Linked DNA regions of Xenopus tropicalis. The protein of the gene in region 2 purifies or fractionates together with the protein of the main gene of each other region. This does not show direct contact. Links are inferred from orthologs where the notes say so. Each region holds a gene or a part of one and is shown on either strand. Other genes may lie near its edges.

Region 1 (3,826 bases), on a different chromosome or scaffold from region 2:
AAAACCTACTACTACACTTTTCCATGTGTTTGTATGAGGTCATAATGTTCATATAAAAAATCATTCACTAAGAGATCCATAGAATATATTATTTCCTTTAAAACTGCCTTCTCTATAGGATAACTCTAGAAAACAGTTACAAAGTGAACTGCTGTGTTGATAAATAAATAAATGCATCTATTGAAAACGCAACAGAATCTATTTCTCACCATCCATATGTTTTCTCTGGTTTTGGAATAGGATCATCAAAGAAAGAATCTCCTTCAAGATAATCTTCATCCAATTCTGTTTTTCTCTCTTCATTATCAAAGGATAACTTGTTTAGATTGAAATCTGATTTGGCTTCAAAGGTTAATATGTGGTTTTCAAGCTTCTGTTTGGACTCTCTAGAGAAGAGAGTATTTTTTTCAATCCGATCATCAGTCTGCTGAATTAGAACAGACAATGAGAGCATACACTGTAGGACCTGTACAAAAACTGCAAGTGTGCTAATAATTGAAGCAGGAATGTTTTTATCAAACTTTGTGTAGCATGTAGTTTAAGATGGTAAACTGTACAGAATTGTTTAGACATGAAACACACCCGGCCCTTTACTATTCTTACACAGACTTTTATACATGCCTAGAAACACGAAGTGGAGGCCACAAGGGCTACAACAACCTTACTTCATACCTGTAATCCCTACCAGTCAGTATTAATGTCAAACTTAAGATGGGGTGTATAGATTACCAAATAAGCTTCTCACACTGAACTTTGCAACAGCACTATACTGGGTCCAAGTTGGTATCAACCCAACTAACTTGCACTAGCTTGATGACATAAGGGTGTCCACAGATAAAATGGCTATGCGCCATTTTAGGTGCAACTTTGCTTTCACAAAGGGTAGTTATTCTGGCTGCCCAACTATGGGGTTGCTGCCTAAAATGGCTCTGTGCTGCTTCGGGAGCAGAAGATCCAATGATAGGGTTAGAAACCTGCCCTATTTAAAAAAACACACACAGCGAGTGGCATTTAAATATTGACATACCTGATTATAATTTGCTTGTAAATTTGCCTTTCCTTCTAATGACCTCCGTGGGGAATGTATAATATCAGGAACATCATGTGTTACCTGCATTACAAACATAAATCTACTTAGAAGGTTTTTCAAATAAAAGCATGGTGAGTGAGTTGGTGTCTTCCATAAGTGGCATCTAGGACTGAAAAACATGTACATGCTGCACCAAACAATAATGAACTTTCTTTTAACATACTTACAACACTTCTACAATGGATGAACAAACGCTTGTACATCCCAATGAATTCGTGGAAATTAATACCTACAAACAGAAAACATAATTATCATGAATGGACAAAAATATATTATTTTTTAATGTTAATTCCAGACTTCATGTCCTAGCAGTTCTAAATAGTTGTGTTTAAAATTGTCCTGAAGCAAACAGGTAAATCTCTGAATACAAAGAAGCATACCAAAATATGGCTGATTAGGCTACAACCATGCTAAACCTAAATGCAAATTATCATTTTTCTCTTCTTGTGTGTCCAACTTAGGGATAATAGGTAGTGGTGATGGTGGGGTTTTTTATAGTACAAAACATCTTTCCACCACCTACTATCAAGGCTCTGAGTTGGACATTCAAATATTGAAGGACAGTTGGACTATATTGACAGCTGATAAATCCAGTGTTTTCCTGGTATCCTGGTGGGCCCTCCTGCTCCTAACCATTTGGCCTATGGCCATGGTCATTCCCTATTTTTGAATGGGAACAAAGTGCAGAAACAGTAGGAAGAATAGATAATAGCATGTTAATAGAAAAGACTAAGAGAATAAAGAGGTTGAGTGAGGAAAGGGGGGGAAAATAGTTTGGAGAGTTGGGTTTCTGGTGGGCCTCTGGAGTCCCAGTCCGACACTGTATAAATCATTACTTTTTGGTGACTATTCTCTTTACCTATTATAGTACATAAAAGGGGCTGCAAACTGCAAGACTGGTTAGTACACCCTAATATCCATCCTGTAGGGACAGTGAGTGCTAAGTGTAAGTGCTGCTTTAAAAGGGTGAAATATATAACATGCTGTCAAGAACAGCTTTTTAACGCATTTGTCTAAATGTAAAGCAGAATTCAAAATTAGATTTCCGACTGTTTAACTTTGCTTCTGAAAGTACTTCAAAATGCTTGCAGATTATGTCTTGATAATAGAGGGCAATGTTGTATTTATCAAATCCACTTACACTCTCCTGCCACAATAAACCTTATATAATAATAATAATATACAAAAAACTGGCCTTGAAGCATGAACTGAAATTAAAGGATTCCCCTGCATCAATAACAAAAAAAAATTGAGGTTAGAATACATACAATTCTTAATTTTCAACCTATAAACATACCATTATTGAAATCCTTATCTGCAGCTTTAAATTCATCAGTCACGTACCTTTCCAACATGCTTCTGTAAAAAAAATTCTGTTTAATTTATCTTGAACTCAAAAATTGATAAATCTGCCACCCCTTGGATGTAAGTTCAAAAGCATGAAACAGGAGTACTCAAGGGACTTATAAAATAAATAGCAAACTTAAGAGCTCTAGATGCTGCAGAGGTCAAGAAACAAATTATAAAAGATAGCCACAAGATGGTATTACACTCCCTCCAAATGGACATGTCCACTTACTCAGCCTTGATGGGAGAATGTTAGATAAGCAATATACCATAAACTTTGAAATACCCAATGAATGTTCTGCTATTCTATATAGAAAAAAAATGCTTTCTACTTTCACAAAGTCACTAGAACTGCACTTGTTGAATGCGTTTAAAATATTAATACTGCAATGATGGAAACAAACCGTAACGCCAACATTGCAAGATTGGTATAGAAAAAATACACCAATTTTAAGAGTTCTCTCTTTCCTCACCAGAACAGTATAACACTTACAGTACTACATGGTTTCACTGGCTTTCCTTTAAAAGAAAAAATCTGATTTTTTTTTATAAACAATCAATAATTAATGTCAGTACATTAATTAAGGAAAAGAGTTAGGGAGAGAAAAGAGGGATAAAAAGGAGTGGGGAAGAAAGGAAGGAGAAAAAGAAAGGAAAAGAGGGGGGAGGACAGGTACCCCTCCTCTTATAACATTGTATAATTGATCATATGCTTATTACATGACACAGACTCCTGCAATGTTCATTCTATCTGACTTTATTTGTTACTCTGTTTTCTTTATATTTGAACATCAATAAAAATCATAATAAAATAAATAAATAGGAAAAAATAGAGTATCTTTGCTCTGTATATTTTAAGAAAGGTTCTCTGGGTAGTGCAGACTTACCTAAAGGGATACTGTTATGATTTTTACGGTATACTTTTTATTTCTAATATACACTGTTTACATTGCAAATAATTCACTCTACCATTTAAAATGTTATTCTTGAACCAACAAATGTTTTTTCTTTTAGCTGTAATATTGGTGTCTAGCCAGCCATCTAAGTGCATTGTGCCCGATTCGGAGCTTTCAGACAGAGACAGCACTACACACTGGACTGGAACTGCCAACTAAGGCCCCCCCACCCCGCGTGCATGTGCATCTATGTCCTTTTAACTCACATACAGAGAAATGGTGTGAGGACGCACTGAAGTTTTCTGCGCAACCGGTCCCTGTTGCTCCTTATGCGAGCAATGGGGGGGGGGGGGGGGGGAAGAGGAGGTGCAGGGGCGAGGTGGCCGACCAGGTTGCCTAGGGTGCCTGGTCGGCTTGGCCCGCCCCTGGACTTTGCCACAAATCTGGGCCTATCTTTAATAGGACACTAGATATAATAGTTTATAATAGTATT
Region 2 (3,826 bases):
TATAAAACAGAGTTCTTATTATTAACATTTATATATTGAGCGCCAACATATTCTGCAGCGCTGTACAATAAGTGTTAAACCAAAGATTAACTGCCCAATATGCCTGAGCTACAATGAAAGGTGATATATGTACTGTCCATATATGTAATATTACTGGCTACCCTCCCCGTGCTTTCGCATTCTAAGGCAGAATGTTCAGAAGCATAAACTGACCCATAACTGTCATGGCACTGAGTATCCTAATCTTAATGGAAGATATATAGGGCACACAGTCAGTTGTAGCGCCCCTCATTTACACTATTGATACCATTGTGAACACAGAACTGGCACACAGTTATTAAACCCGCTTGTATATCTACATTGGACACAGGGCCAGAAGTAGGTAGGCAGAAGAGGCACGTGCCTAGGGTGCAACTGCAAGGGCACTGGGCATGTAAATCTTGGCTTAACGGCCCCTACTTTCGGCCAGTCTGAAGTTCTGATTCTGCATGTAAACCAGGATTTGACATGCGCGGGGGGGGGGGAAAGACAGACAAAAGACAGTGCGCGCCACCTTATGTGATCCTAGGAGAAGAGCAGGTGGGGGCATTTGCCGTGGGGGCATTTGCCTTGGGTGCCCCCAACCCTAGGCCCACCACTGATTGGACACTACACAGTATGCAGAATGTAAAAAGAGAGAAATGCACTTGTGCTGTAAAAGGAGCAGCTGGAAACAAGCTGACTTTTGAAACCTGGACACCCTCCATTATGTTTGGGACAAAAACACATTTTTCTCCTCAGTGCGAATTTTAAAGCAAACAATTCAGACTTTAATCTAAAGTTATTTGCATACATTTCAGTTTCACCATGTAGAAATTACAACACTTTTTATACATAGAAATTACAAGTACGCAAGGGACTCCAACCTGATCCAATCATTGTCCTGGAGGACCAAAAAAATAGAGTTGGGGGATATGGAATTCTGGTTTTGATAACACTGTAAAAAAGTATCACCATAAGTTATGTTTTGTGTTAGATGTTGCGTGATGTGCCACAAACTCCTGCCTGCTGGCTCTCCAGATAATGGGCCCAAGGGAACCACTCCAGCTCCCCTTCATAGCTCCTGTCCAGGAGTTTGCCTCTAAATGACTCCATAGCTCTGACCCAATTTACTTTTGTAATCAGTGTTTGCAAACTGGCAGTTTAACTCTGCTTGTATTGTCAGGCAGCAGAGAGTTGGTCAAACTGGACATTGCTACTGGACTCCTTGGAGGCTATTTAAACAGCTATTTGGCCAGAGTAATAGCTTCCACAAAAGTCTACAGTTCCCACGGGCAGGATAGATGCCATAAAAAATTAAAAAACTAGAAAAAAAAAAAAGGATGGAGATGTGTCTGTGTGCCAGGATTTCAAAGAATGATAGTGTATATAAGAACTGCAAACCACACAGGGAAAGTGTACACAGGAGAATAGAAACTTGGCATCTCAGTACCTGTTAGACATGGGCACCCTTTTTGCGATTTCATAGAACAAGGAACAAATCTCAAACTGTGAGTGAAGATAAATTGTGTTGTAAAAAACTATTAAAATAAAATACTTACAGACTCTCTAAGGTAGCCTTGGCCAGCCACATCATACAAGCTTAAACCTATCCTCGTCTGGTGCAGCCACACTACAAAAAAGAAGTTATATGCTATCTGTAGTAATCTGCGAAATGTAATGCAACAGTACAATGATACAGCAAGTGGCTCTTTAGCTTACCTTTCCTCATGACATAGTTGAAAAACTGCATTATGGATATTCTGCCATAGGGATCGTTGGGTATAAGCTTGCTAAACACTTTAGAGGTAAAAAATGTCCTGAAATGAGAAAAAACAGAAAAAAATAGATGATTTTACTTTCTGATATTGCATTGCACTATAATTAATTATTCTGCTTTTCAGCAAAGTGCTAACCCCCAGAGGAGATCATGTAAAATAAGACAAGCAGGTTCAATTTTCTGTCTCCAAGACATGCCACATTAGATTGGGTGCATTTGTACAATATGATCACACAGGTCTCTCTAGTACTTTATGCAGGCATTTTCCTTTGCTGTTTGCTACTTTAAAATCTACCAAGACATTTGAGTGCAGCTCCAGGGTGCCAAGTCTGCTGGACCCTTTCCAAATGTATATTTAACATCACCCCATATTATTTACATTGTACCAAGAAGGCAATCTATACCCTGCCATGACTGCCGAGACTTACTTGCATTTTTCTCCAGCTTTTTCGCCAACAGTCTGGAAGTTTGTGTAGTTGATCATGGCTTCCTCTCCAATTAAAGGCGGAGACTGGTGCTTGTCCAGAAGAAACCAGAGATTCTTTGGAAGGAAAATGAGAACTTTAACATATATGCATAGAATATTGTATTGCTAAAATAATGACTCAAAACAAAAGCAAATAATGAAGAACAGAAGCAATAAGATTAGTCTGTCCTACCTGTAACTCCTCATTGTCTAAGAGCTCACGGCTTTTCCTTTGTAAAAATACAGCCCGGGATTCTTCCCTTAGTTTCTGCTGGAGTACTTCATCTTCTGCAGGGAGCTGTGTGAGAAAGAAAACAGATCTACATGAAGTACTTTATGCATTGTACGGTCACCTGAAATTTCACCCTCACTGTCCTTTCATAAATATCTATGGAAACAAGTAGGCCTTGAACCAAAATCATTCCAATACTGAACTTTACTGTATTTCACCCCTCCCCCAATGTCTTGGGTACTTTCTGAACTTCAGTTCTGCTCAGTGACTGATAATTAAGCCTGTATAGAATATACAGAATTAGGGAAATACAATTCAAAGAGTTAATATTGGGTCCAATATATACATACAAATGATTCAACTTGTTAAGATCACAAACTCCTTGTAACTATGATGCTTACCCTATAATAGAAACGAGGGATATTCTGGGCACTTGAGACCTTCCCACCTCCTTTCCATTCTGTATAATAATTTGTAAAGAGGGACATTTCTTCTTCTTTCATTTCCTGCTCACTTTTTCTGACTGAAAAATACGAAAAAAAACCTTGTTTAATCCAAAATGCTGGCATGTTTCTTTATTTCATGACAATTAATATGCAGCCCTAAAGATATATGTCAGCTATCATTTGATGTAGCAATGCAATAATCAATGTTTAATCTAGGAACAGAATATTAATCCGACAGTTATACAGATCTCAGGTATATCTGGCTCTAAACATAATCAAACCTAATTATATCTATATAATACACAAAAGCCATGAAACACCTTCTGGTACATTCATATGCAAAGCAACTAGTTCTCTTTAAATCCATTTACAATGTAATATGACAAAGGGTAAATTAGTAACTAGACTGCAAACTACACTATTTTCCAATTAAGCATCTAGCATGCACTAGACTAGAACATAATACAGGTATGGGACCTGTTTTCCAGAATTCTCAGGACCTGGGTTTTTTTGAAAAGGGGCCTTTATAGCTGGGATCATGTAAAAGGTACTGTTTTATTATTACAGAGAAAAGAAAAAAACATTTAAAAACATTCAGATGATACATCTTCAGAAGATACTTCTTTCCTGTCTTTCACACTTTCAAATAGGGGTCACTATGCTCCACGTGGTTACAAATTTATTGTTATTGTTACTTTTTATTACGTATTTTTCTGTTCAAGCCTGCTCTTATTCATCTTCCACTTTTCAAACCACTGCCTTGTTGCTACGGTAAATTGGACCCTAGCAACCAGATAGGTACATAAACAAATACAAAAATAAATAAAAATAAAGCACTATTGCAAATCGTCTCAGAATATCGGTCTACAATATATTTAACTGGG

What was found.
Region 1: the proteins of ppp2r3c (region 2) and fgfr1op purify together in Homo sapiens (affinity purification with mass spectrometry; 3 studies listed by BioGRID and IntAct, counting the BioPlex papers as one, with this or other methods). This does not show direct contact. The link is inferred for Xenopus tropicalis from reciprocal best matches to the Homo sapiens genes PPP2R3C and CEP43.

Annotation. Positions count from the first base shown.
Region 1 is NC_030681.2:56,938,184-56,942,009, forward strand, and holds part of fgfr1op (FGFR1 oncogene partner), read right to left. Parts: intron 2,450-3,826; coding exon 2,388-2,449; intron 1,320-2,387; coding exon 1,258-1,319; intron 1,112-1,257; coding exon 1,028-1,111; intron 428-1,027; coding exon of another isoform or gene 425-427; coding exon 210-424; intron 1-209. UniProt on the Homo sapiens protein: Required for anchoring microtubules to the centrosomes. Required for ciliation.
Region 2 is NC_030684.2:109,432,121-109,435,946, forward strand, and holds part of ppp2r3c (serine/threonine-protein phosphatase 2A regulatory subunit B'' subunit gamma), read right to left. Parts: intron 3,020-3,826; coding exon 2,898-3,019; intron 2,563-2,897; coding exon 2,458-2,562; intron 2,340-2,457; coding exon 2,227-2,339; intron 1,839-2,226; coding exon 1,741-1,838; intron 1,652-1,740; coding exon 1,581-1,651; intron 1-1,580. UniProt on the Homo sapiens protein: May regulate MCM3AP phosphorylation through phosphatase recruitment. May act as a negative regulator of ABCB1 expression and function through the dephosphorylation of ABCB1 by TFPI2/PPP2R3C complex.